2 linked regions of the Tribolium castaneum genome follow. The protein of the gene in region 2 purifies or fractionates together with the protein of the main gene of each other region. This does not show direct contact. Links are inferred from orthologs where the notes say so. Each region holds a gene or a part of one and is shown on either strand. Other genes may lie near its edges. The genes, in order: park and Marf.

Region 1 (4,527 bases), on a different chromosome or scaffold from region 2:
CTTTTAAATTTGGACGAATTAGATAGAGGGGAACAGCCTCGTCGGTCTCTCCAAGGGACGTGTGCTCCGAGCATTTGAAATAAAATTCGGCGAAAGTCGGTTCTTTGTTGTTCAGAACCTGCAGGAATTATTAATTAAAAATTTTAATTTAATAGATTTTCGAAATAATAGATTTTCCAGGGTATAGGTAGCGGTTTTATCAAATTTGAATTCAAAACATGTGTTAAAAAAATATTTTTATTTAACGTCGTTTTTACCGTGTTCATCATAGTCGTTCTTAATTTGTGTTTTAAGAGCAAGCTAAACTAAAATATTTCTAGCGAAGGTCGTTAAATCGATCAAGTATTTTCTGTTACCAAACGAAACTGTCTATCTTTGCTTTTGTACGCATCTCACGCACAAACAAAATATTATTGTAGCGCTTTAGTAGATTCCCGTTGAATACATTTTTATCTCAAAAAAGGTAATATTAAAAGAATTAAAAATTAAATTTACCTACTTATGTGCTACCTACTAGTAATTTCTATTGACACTTAATTAAAAGAAATGATTTAAGACAGGTACAAAGATAGAAAAAAAAGCAGGTAAAAAAGGAGAATTGAAAAGTTATGGTAATCCAATTGTCTTTGTTTATAATTTATTATTAATATTGTAATCTAATAAAAAATCTAAACTATTATTCTTGTGTGTCGTTTTGATTATGGAGCGATTCTTACTTATTTTTACATAATTTTCTCTTCCTTATACAGCGTTCAAAATGATGTTGCCAAACTTTACGGTGTTATAGAGGTCACTAAGATAGAAATGTTTTGCTGATAAACGCTGATAAATGAGCCGTTTTGCCTCTAGAGTCATGTCTTTGTCCAGAAATGATTACATTCAAAAATTCCCATAAAACTTACGTTTCATAACGTTATTTCAATAAATTGTCAAAATACCACTGCCTTATTTCATGTCAGTTTGCTCTACTTGCGTTAATGTTTGATAAAAAAGTATTTTAAACATGTATACATTTGTCAGAAAATAACAACAAACATCTATTTTTATTTTTTTTGAATATTGATTAATTTTTCCGGCGCATCCACCATTTTTTTAATTTGCAGTTTGTTAATAGTAAATTGTTTTACACTTGTTTTTCTTATATTTTCTGTACACTTGTACATTTTTGACTAAAGTTATTCAAAGTAGTATTTGGAAATGTTTAATTTGATAATTTCTCCCGGCGCATCCACCATTTTTAAAACGCTGTCTTGTTCACTTTAAGACACCAACTGGTGTCAAAAGGCGGTGGTGTGTGCATGTGTTGTTGTCATTAAGTCATTGTTAATTCCATCTTTTAATGTTTACTTCCAAGAATTTGAACGAGTAAAAAGCCTGATGATGTTTATTACATTAACTTTTAACTAAACTTTTTAAGGAACTTGGTCTTATCGTCGTGAATTTTTTTAAAATCAATCAGTCAAGGACGTTTAAAAAATTTTTATTATAACAATTTTTACACAATACTAGAGATTTCATCATTTCAATTTGAAACAGTTGTAAAATTTGGATTTTTTCAAGTCACAAGACATTCTACTTTGAAGCAGATTTTTTTTAAATAATTATTTCTTTTCAGTCCTATAACTCGCTTACGGGTAGTCCTATAACAAAAGTGCATAGGACCAATTTTTGTAGGAAATTTCATCAGCTTTAATTTTTGTAAGAAGGTGAAAACCGACAATGATTGTTTCCGTGGTATAAGAAATAAAACGAAAAATGACACACTTAACCCTCTCCCCCATCTCGAGCTCAGCCTCCATCCTCTGGGATTTTTAATATCTGTCTATCTAAAGAACGCGTTTAAAAAATTCCAACTCACTAGGAATTTTTGCCACCAACCGCCCAATTCTTGTCTGGTCTAACTTGACTGGGCTAGATACCTGATTTATAGCTGGAACACATTTTCTAAAAATGTTATAGAGACCCTCAGTAGTAACCCAAATTTCAAATTTAGATTTACATTCAATAAATTTGGTAACTGTAGAAAATTTTAACTTTATGATAGAAAAAGAAATTTAAAAAAGTATCTGAAAATATTTTGGCGTATATTGTTTTTAATTGTCTTCAGCGACTTTTAGTTTTTAAAATTAACATTGATTTCCCTGTACCAGAATTTCGGTTTAGCTCGCTCTTATGGTGTTAATGAATCTGCTGCTTCTAGTTAGGTGAGCGGACATTACGATTGCAAACATTTTAAAAATTTTCGCAATGCTCCTTAGTAAGCGTAAATATTTTTAACTTTAAATATTTTGACTATAAACATTTTAAAGGAAAATTAAATTTTGTCCAGTACTATTTTTAGTGTGGAGTGTTTTTGACTAATTTCAATTAAATAATTAAAAAACGTACGTTGGCGCACAATTCGGGGCTATTCTCACAAAGGCCGGTTATCTGCTTTGGCTGCAGCACATCATTCCAGTTTTGGGGGTCTGAGTGCACCGTGAAAGCCCCCGATTTGCAAAAGTGGCACCGAACTCGCAATTTCCCATTTTTGAGGGCTTTACACGTGGGGCAATAGACAAAAAAGTGGACTTTGCGTTGCTCGGTGGGCCCTTCCTCGTAATCATCGTTTGAAAAACTCAAATCTGATAAGGTCTCACACAGAGGTTTGCCCTCGTCACTTTCCTCAATTACGGCATTGTTTAAAGTGGGAGGGTTGGGCTTTTTGGTGATTTTGATAGCGTGGAGGGTGCTTTGTTGGCCCAAATCACATTCCTAGAATGACTAACTGGTTACGACTAGTGGTATTGAGGGCAAAACTCACAGAAATACTAATGTTGTCTCCCAGCTCTTTTCCAGCGAAAATAATCTTTACCTCGCCTGGTTTCAGTCCCAATTGGGGCGCAACGAACTCTTTCACCTCTTTTATGTCCCAGGTGGGGTCCAAATCGACCGAAAGCGTATTCCCTGTGTTGGTTTTTATGTAAATACTCAAATTATTGCTCAGCGTTTTTCTACTAAATGACAGAAATTGTAACATCTTATGCAACAAATCTTTAATTACGTTGATAATAAAACTCATCATCTGTGGTAACCGCGGCCGGGCTTATTTTTAGAAAAAAACATTTTTTGTGAGGAAATTTCATAACCTCATTCTTGGGGATTGTCGATCCGTTACGTTGGTTGTTGTGTGAAAAATTCCAGAAACGTCAAAACAAACAAGATGGGGCAAAGTGACGACCCATACGCACAAGTTTGCAAGGGAAAATTGCAATTAAAAGGTGATAACAGCATTAAAAAGAAAAAGAAGAAGAAAGATAAGAAGTTGTTAGAGCAAGTGAGCAAAATTGTCGAAAGTGAGACACCGGAATCAAAGCCTGCGAGGCAAAAAACAAAAGCCGAACTTGCGTTCTTAAAACAGCAAGAAAAAATGGTAAATAAATCACATTTCGTGTTAAATTTGTTGCCTGATTGTTACAATTTGCAGCAAACTCAACGCATCTTGGAAAAAGCGTCAATGACACACAAAGAAAGAGTAGAAAAATTCAACCAACACTTGGACGGGCTCACGGAACACTTTGACATACCTAAGGTCTCTTGGACTAAGTAAAATATTTATTTAAATAAACTTCTTATTTACACTAGTGTGATCAAGGATTTTCTTCAAATTCCTTGCAAAACTCTCATTTGAGAATTTCTCCTGCAACACTTTGCGCCCCTTGAGCCCCATTGCCTTGTTATCCGACTTGAATATCCTGTACATGAATTGCGCTAAACTGTCGGGGGTCGGTTCGCATAAATAGCCCGTGTTTCCGTGGTCGACTGTCTCTCGGGGGCCCCCACTGTTGCACGCAATGACGGGCTTAGCCACCGTCATTGCCTCGAGGGGGACAATGCCGAAGTGCTCCTTCACGGGCGTGTAAACGAGGCAGTCACACGCCATCAGAAGTTCCGTCTTGACGTCATCGGGGGGCGACTTGAGGAAAATAATCTTGTCTTGGAGCCCCTTCTCAGCGACGAGTTTCTCCAAGTCGGTGAAATAACTGGCGTTTATGGACGATTGGGGGTCGTAGCCCCCGGCCATAACCAAGAAAATGCCTTTACGTTCATTTTCCGAGGTGATTCTTTGCAAAATTTCCATCGCATTGATGGCCAAGTCCAGTTTCTTGGCGGGATGGAAGCGGTTGATGGAGAGGAAGACACAGGCGGCGTTTTGGGGTATTTCTGGGATTATTTGGTGGATTGGTCTGGGGTTTTTGGTGTTTTTGACGGCTTCTAAGAACGAGGAGGCCACTGTGGGGTACACCACTTGTACAGTCTTTGTGATTTGGGGGAAAGTCTCCCGGAAGACCGAAGCCGTGTACTCACTATTCACTAGAATGATATCAGCCCGAGCTGTGGACTTTAACTCCAACCAGTTTATGGGCTTCCTGTAGAAATTTTTTAAGGCCCCCCCTGGCGCACTGGCGAGCAAGTCCGGGTGGTGACAATAATAGATAACTTTTTCGCCGAATAATTTCAAAATTGGCACAGCCATAGGGATTAAGT
Region 2 (4,434 bases):
CGTATTGGTCGGTTGGAGTGGAGGGGATGACTGAATTTTGCGGACTTTCCCGTTTGTTTTTCAAGGCGAGGAAATTGGCGCCACTGCCGGCAAATCGTTGAATTAGCGTGGTAATCCCCCAAGAGAATCGGAATTCTAAATCTTCGGTAAAATCAGCGCATAAATTATCGCAATTCAACCGATACAAAATCTCAAACGGTTGCCGACGCGGTAAAATAAAATTAGACGCCGCTTTGTGATTTGCTGGTAGTAATTTTTCCATACGTTCGGTCATTTCGCGTTGACTCGCTTCCATGTTCATTGCTAAAGCTGTTGAAAGTCGGGCTTTTAAATTTGAACCAAGACCGGTTTCGACGTGCAAATGCAATTCTTTTTTGTAAACGTTCAAAACTAAAGGTTCAGGATGGAAGGGGAGATTAAATTCGTCAACAAGTGTACTCAAACGACGGATTTCCTCGTTTAAAGCTTTGGAAACGCGCTGTTCGACGTCTTCGACCATTTGGTGGATTTTTTGCTTCATTTCTTGTGTTATTATAATTAGTTGCTCTTCAGTGTAGTTGATTTTGTCGTGTACTTCTTTCTTTTGACGCAATTTCTCGTCTTTTAGTTTTTGCGCGTCGTTGTAAATATCGTCTAAAACCTCGCGAAGTTCGCTGAAAAAAATTACTTAATCACTTTTAAATAAGGCGAACAAAAAATTGCAGGCAGATAAATTAATTCTCAGTGGCAAGAGATTAAAATAATGTAAAAATTGTATCATGAACTATACAAAGTGTGTCAGTTTGGTATTGTAACTCTATAGTTACAGGGTTGCTAAAAAGGCTCGCAGCGCCCTAATTTTTATTCTGCCATCTAACTTTTTTGGGTACGATTTTGCATCTCGCGTCGCCTCCTAACCTATAGTACTCCCTAGACTCTGTACTCACTTTGCTATGAATTTTCCGCGTTGTGAATGTTGTTCGAATTTGGTTTTGACGGCCGATTTCGAAATACATTCTTCGAATTTTCGTTCAAAATCCTGAAATTCGAAATAACGCGTCTGGAAACCTTCAGTTAGCGGTGTTGAAACGGTTTGTCCTTGTTCAGCTAATCGTGCTTGTAGTACTTCTTTGGCCGAAATAAAGAAAATTCGTTCTTCGGCCTCTTTCGGTGTACAAACTTTTAGTTCTTTGACAAGAAAATCGACGGCACGTTCTTGGTGTTGACGTCTGACCTGTAGAAAAAATTATTAATTTAATAGAAGATTTAAATTCTAAAGTGTCACTGTGAATCTAATAACTCACCTCTTCCTGTTCATTGCAATGCTTAAATGTGAGAAAATTTGATGTAATTATGGACAAAAAAAATCAATAAACTTATCAAGAAAAAAGCGACAAAACAAGGAGAATGATAACAAAAATTATTAAGCAATGCAATGCAAACAAAAATCGAGGTGTTTGTGAATTTTCAACACCCACCTGATCCAAAAATTCCGGTTCGGTGGCAGAAGCGTCCCATCGATTATTCAAAATGAAAATGTTTGGTTTTGAGAGTCGTGTCGAGACTTTATGGAAGAAATTTTTTTCCTATTACACATTCAATTAACGAAAAGATATTCAAAAAAATTTGGTTATTTGTTACCGTAACCATAAGTGTAGATTCAGCATTCGCTACTAAAACAAAAACATCAGCATCTAAACAATGCTTGTCGATCCATTCGTCTAAATTCGGCGTAACGTCAACTCCTGGCGAATCAACGAACACGACATCGTCTCGTAACAAAAGACAGCGATTTCGCGGCCAATAAACGCGCACCATTTGCGATTCGTTCAATTTTTCTTTGCACAAAGCGTGCGCTAATTGGCCAACAGATTCCACAGCACAGTGTTCAGTGGAACCTTCAAGAACCAAGTAAGGTTCATCGGACGGTGAACCTTCAACCTGTCAAAAAAAATAGTAATTCAAGAAAAAAAATTGATTTAAAATTTTTAAAATTCTAGCTTTAGACGCAAAAATAACTTTACCTGTAGGAAACAATTAGTCGTGTGACCAATTCCGCTGGGAAGGATTTTATCGCGCAGCATTGCATTAATAACTGAGCTTTTCCCGTTGGAAGTGCGTCCAAAAAACGCAACTTTCATGTGGTCACGACTCAAGACATCGCGAATTCCGTGCACTTTACTCACAAAGTCTTCAGTTTTCTTAACCCTTTCTTGGTTAACAATTTCTTGCAGTTTCTCGATTTCTGCAACTTGCGATCATTTCAAGGTCGCCAAATTTTCAACTCACCGTGCATATACTCGACTGCGTCTTTAACATAGTCTTCAATCTCGCCGAAAATATCGTTGATTTTCTTCTTGGCTTTGACAAAAATCTGCAAAGGGGAGTTGTCAGGGGGCTGTCGGGCGCTTCTAGGGTCAACCATGCTCGCAGGAATGGCTTTATTGTGGGGGCCATCGCCCGCCATCAACGAAATTGTGCGGTTTATATAAGCGGCCATCAAACAAGGGGGTGCCAATCTACCATGCGTCTAGCAGCAGCAACTGAAACAAAACATTACAACTTAGAAACATTTATTCTGTGGATAAAAAGCGACATGCGACATGTGATTGACATAAATTATTGTGTGAAAAACCTGCTCGTTTGTGGGCATCTTGACGTCCGGGGTAATCTAACCCCAACTTACAATCCTCGAAAAATTAAGGCGAATTATCGATATGTGTACCAAAACGGGGCAAATACGTACCTAAGGCGCATTAAACGTGTATAAATACGCTATTTATAGCCCAAAAAATAAATAAATCGGTATAAATATATTTATAGGCGACTTGACACCAAAACTGTCAAACTATTCAATTGTTTCGTATCTAGAGACAAGATTTGAAAAAACGACAAGTTCATACCGACAATTGTAATCCCTTTGTATGATTTAACTTACATTTTGTGTTATTTGATTACGTAATTATTATTTTTGTGAGGCGATTCCTCCAAAGCACGAGTTTTTAATTTTTGACGTTGACGTTTGTTTGGGAACTTTTTAATGCGGTTGGTGACGCGATTGTGTTAATAAAAAAAATATTTTTGGACTACTAGTTCAAACTCCAGATTCTAGAATCCCAAAAACTACAATACCAATAAATTGCCGACTCTTATCAATAATTTCCTAATTGTAATCGCAATTAATTCCCATAAATTGGTGTAGAATTTGAATCTCGTTTTTATCACGTTGGTAGTCATTAGCAACTGTCAGACTGTCACCGCTTATTGTTGTCCAACTGTCATTTCGATTTCTCTTGTTACAATTTTGAGGTAATTGAGTTAATTCCCTGTTGATTCGATCAACGCTTGCGTTTAGAAATGAGCGATCAAGATCAAGAGTCAGAGACTCCCCCCGAGATGAGCCCCCACGATGTGGAGAAAATGGAAGAGGCGAAGCTCAAAGCCAAGTACGGGGGGTCGTCAGGCGCCCCCAACCGACTCATGGGGGGCCATTCGGCCTTCCTGCAGAAGCGCCTGGCCAAAGGGCAGAAGTTTTTCGATTCGGGCGATTACCAAATGGCCAAGCAGAAGCTAGGCGGTGTCAATAAGGTCAAGACTGTCCCTGTGCCAGGATTCACCACTGGCGAGGCAATCCCTACACCTGAGACCGTACCCGCGAGAAAAACGTCCATCATACAGCCGTCAAAATTCACATCGAATGTCAGCTAGTTTTTTTAAGTAGCGTTTAAGTGTAGTTGTTGGTTCCTTACTAATTTATTTTGTTTATTCCACCACTTTTTACTAAATGGATACAGATATTGGCATTTTTCAAGTACTCAATAAAATTTTCTTTCCAATGTTTGGACGTGTTTAAATTGGGCGCCAAAAAAATAAAATTCCCCAGTTTCGTGACAAGTTGTCACGGGAAGTGAGGTTACGTGATTATTTTATTTATCAAAAAAATTCAATTTCCCAGCTTATACCTACGTTAGGTGTATTAAAACTAGAAAAAGTGGAGTTGGTGTTTGAATTAAAGTGATTATCTCGTGTTATTTAACACCTTTTCATTGATAAAATCGGTGTAAGATTAGTGGTCATAAAAATGGTTTTCTGTTAATTATTCGGCAAGAACCACAAAAAATGAGTTGTGAATACTTTTCCAAAGCCATAACTGTGAGTGACTTTGACCGAATCTGCCGCACGTGTCTCGGGGACAATAAAACAAGGCCCATCATGGACACAATAATTGGGGACTTTAAAGCAGTTGAATTACTGGAGTCTTGCGTAACTTTACAAGTGACAAAAAATGATTCGTTGCCTCAGAACATATGTGAATCATGCCTGAACGAACTTTACCGTTTTCACGAGTTTAAAAAACAGTGTCAGGATAACGAAGCTGTCTTAAAATTATTGCTTGAACAGCCACAATCCGAGCAAAAACTAGGTGAAGACGAAGAATTTTGCAATATAACGCTA

Evidence for each region.
Region 1: the proteins of Marf (region 2) and park purify together in Drosophila melanogaster (affinity purification with western blotting; 3 studies listed by BioGRID). This does not show direct contact. The link is inferred for Tribolium castaneum from reciprocal best matches to the Drosophila melanogaster genes Marf and park.

Annotation. Positions count from the first base shown.
Region 1 is NC_087398.1:11,672,071-11,676,597, forward strand, and holds the start of park (E3 ubiquitin-protein ligase parkin), read right to left. Parts: upstream 3,065-4,527; coding exon 2,804-3,064; intron 2,755-2,803; coding exon 2,389-2,754; intron 119-2,388; coding exon 1-118. Other genes in the region: protein FAM32A, read left to right, coding at 3,203-3,412, 3,467-3,589; alpha-1,3/1,6-mannosyltransferase ALG2, read right to left, coding at 3,599-4,527. UniProt on the Drosophila melanogaster protein: E3 ubiquitin-protein ligase which accepts ubiquitin from E2 ubiquitin-conjugating enzymes in the form of a thioester and then directly transfers the ubiquitin to targeted substrates, such as Paris, Marf, Opa1, Miro, pnut, Septin1, Tom20 and porin.
Region 2 is NC_087395.1:26,386,649-26,391,082, reverse strand, and holds the start of Marf (transmembrane GTPase Marf), read right to left. Parts: upstream 3,056-4,434; 5' UTR 2,918-3,055; intron 2,847-2,917; exon of another isoform or gene 2,726-2,846; intron 2,647-2,725; exon of another isoform or gene 2,615-2,646; intron 2,523-2,614; 5' UTR 2,480-2,522; coding exon 2,269-2,479; intron 2,225-2,268; coding exon 2,004-2,224; intron 1,921-2,003; coding exon 1,621-1,920; intron 1,566-1,620; coding exon 1,458-1,565; intron 1,305-1,457; coding exon 1,284-1,304; intron 1,214-1,283; coding exon 927-1,213; intron 654-926; coding exon 1-653. Other genes in the region: endos (alpha-endosulfine), read left to right, coding at 3,337-3,687; zinc finger protein OZF, read left to right, coding at 4,099-4,434. UniProt on the Drosophila melanogaster protein: Mitochondrial outer membrane GTPase that mediates mitochondrial clustering and fusion.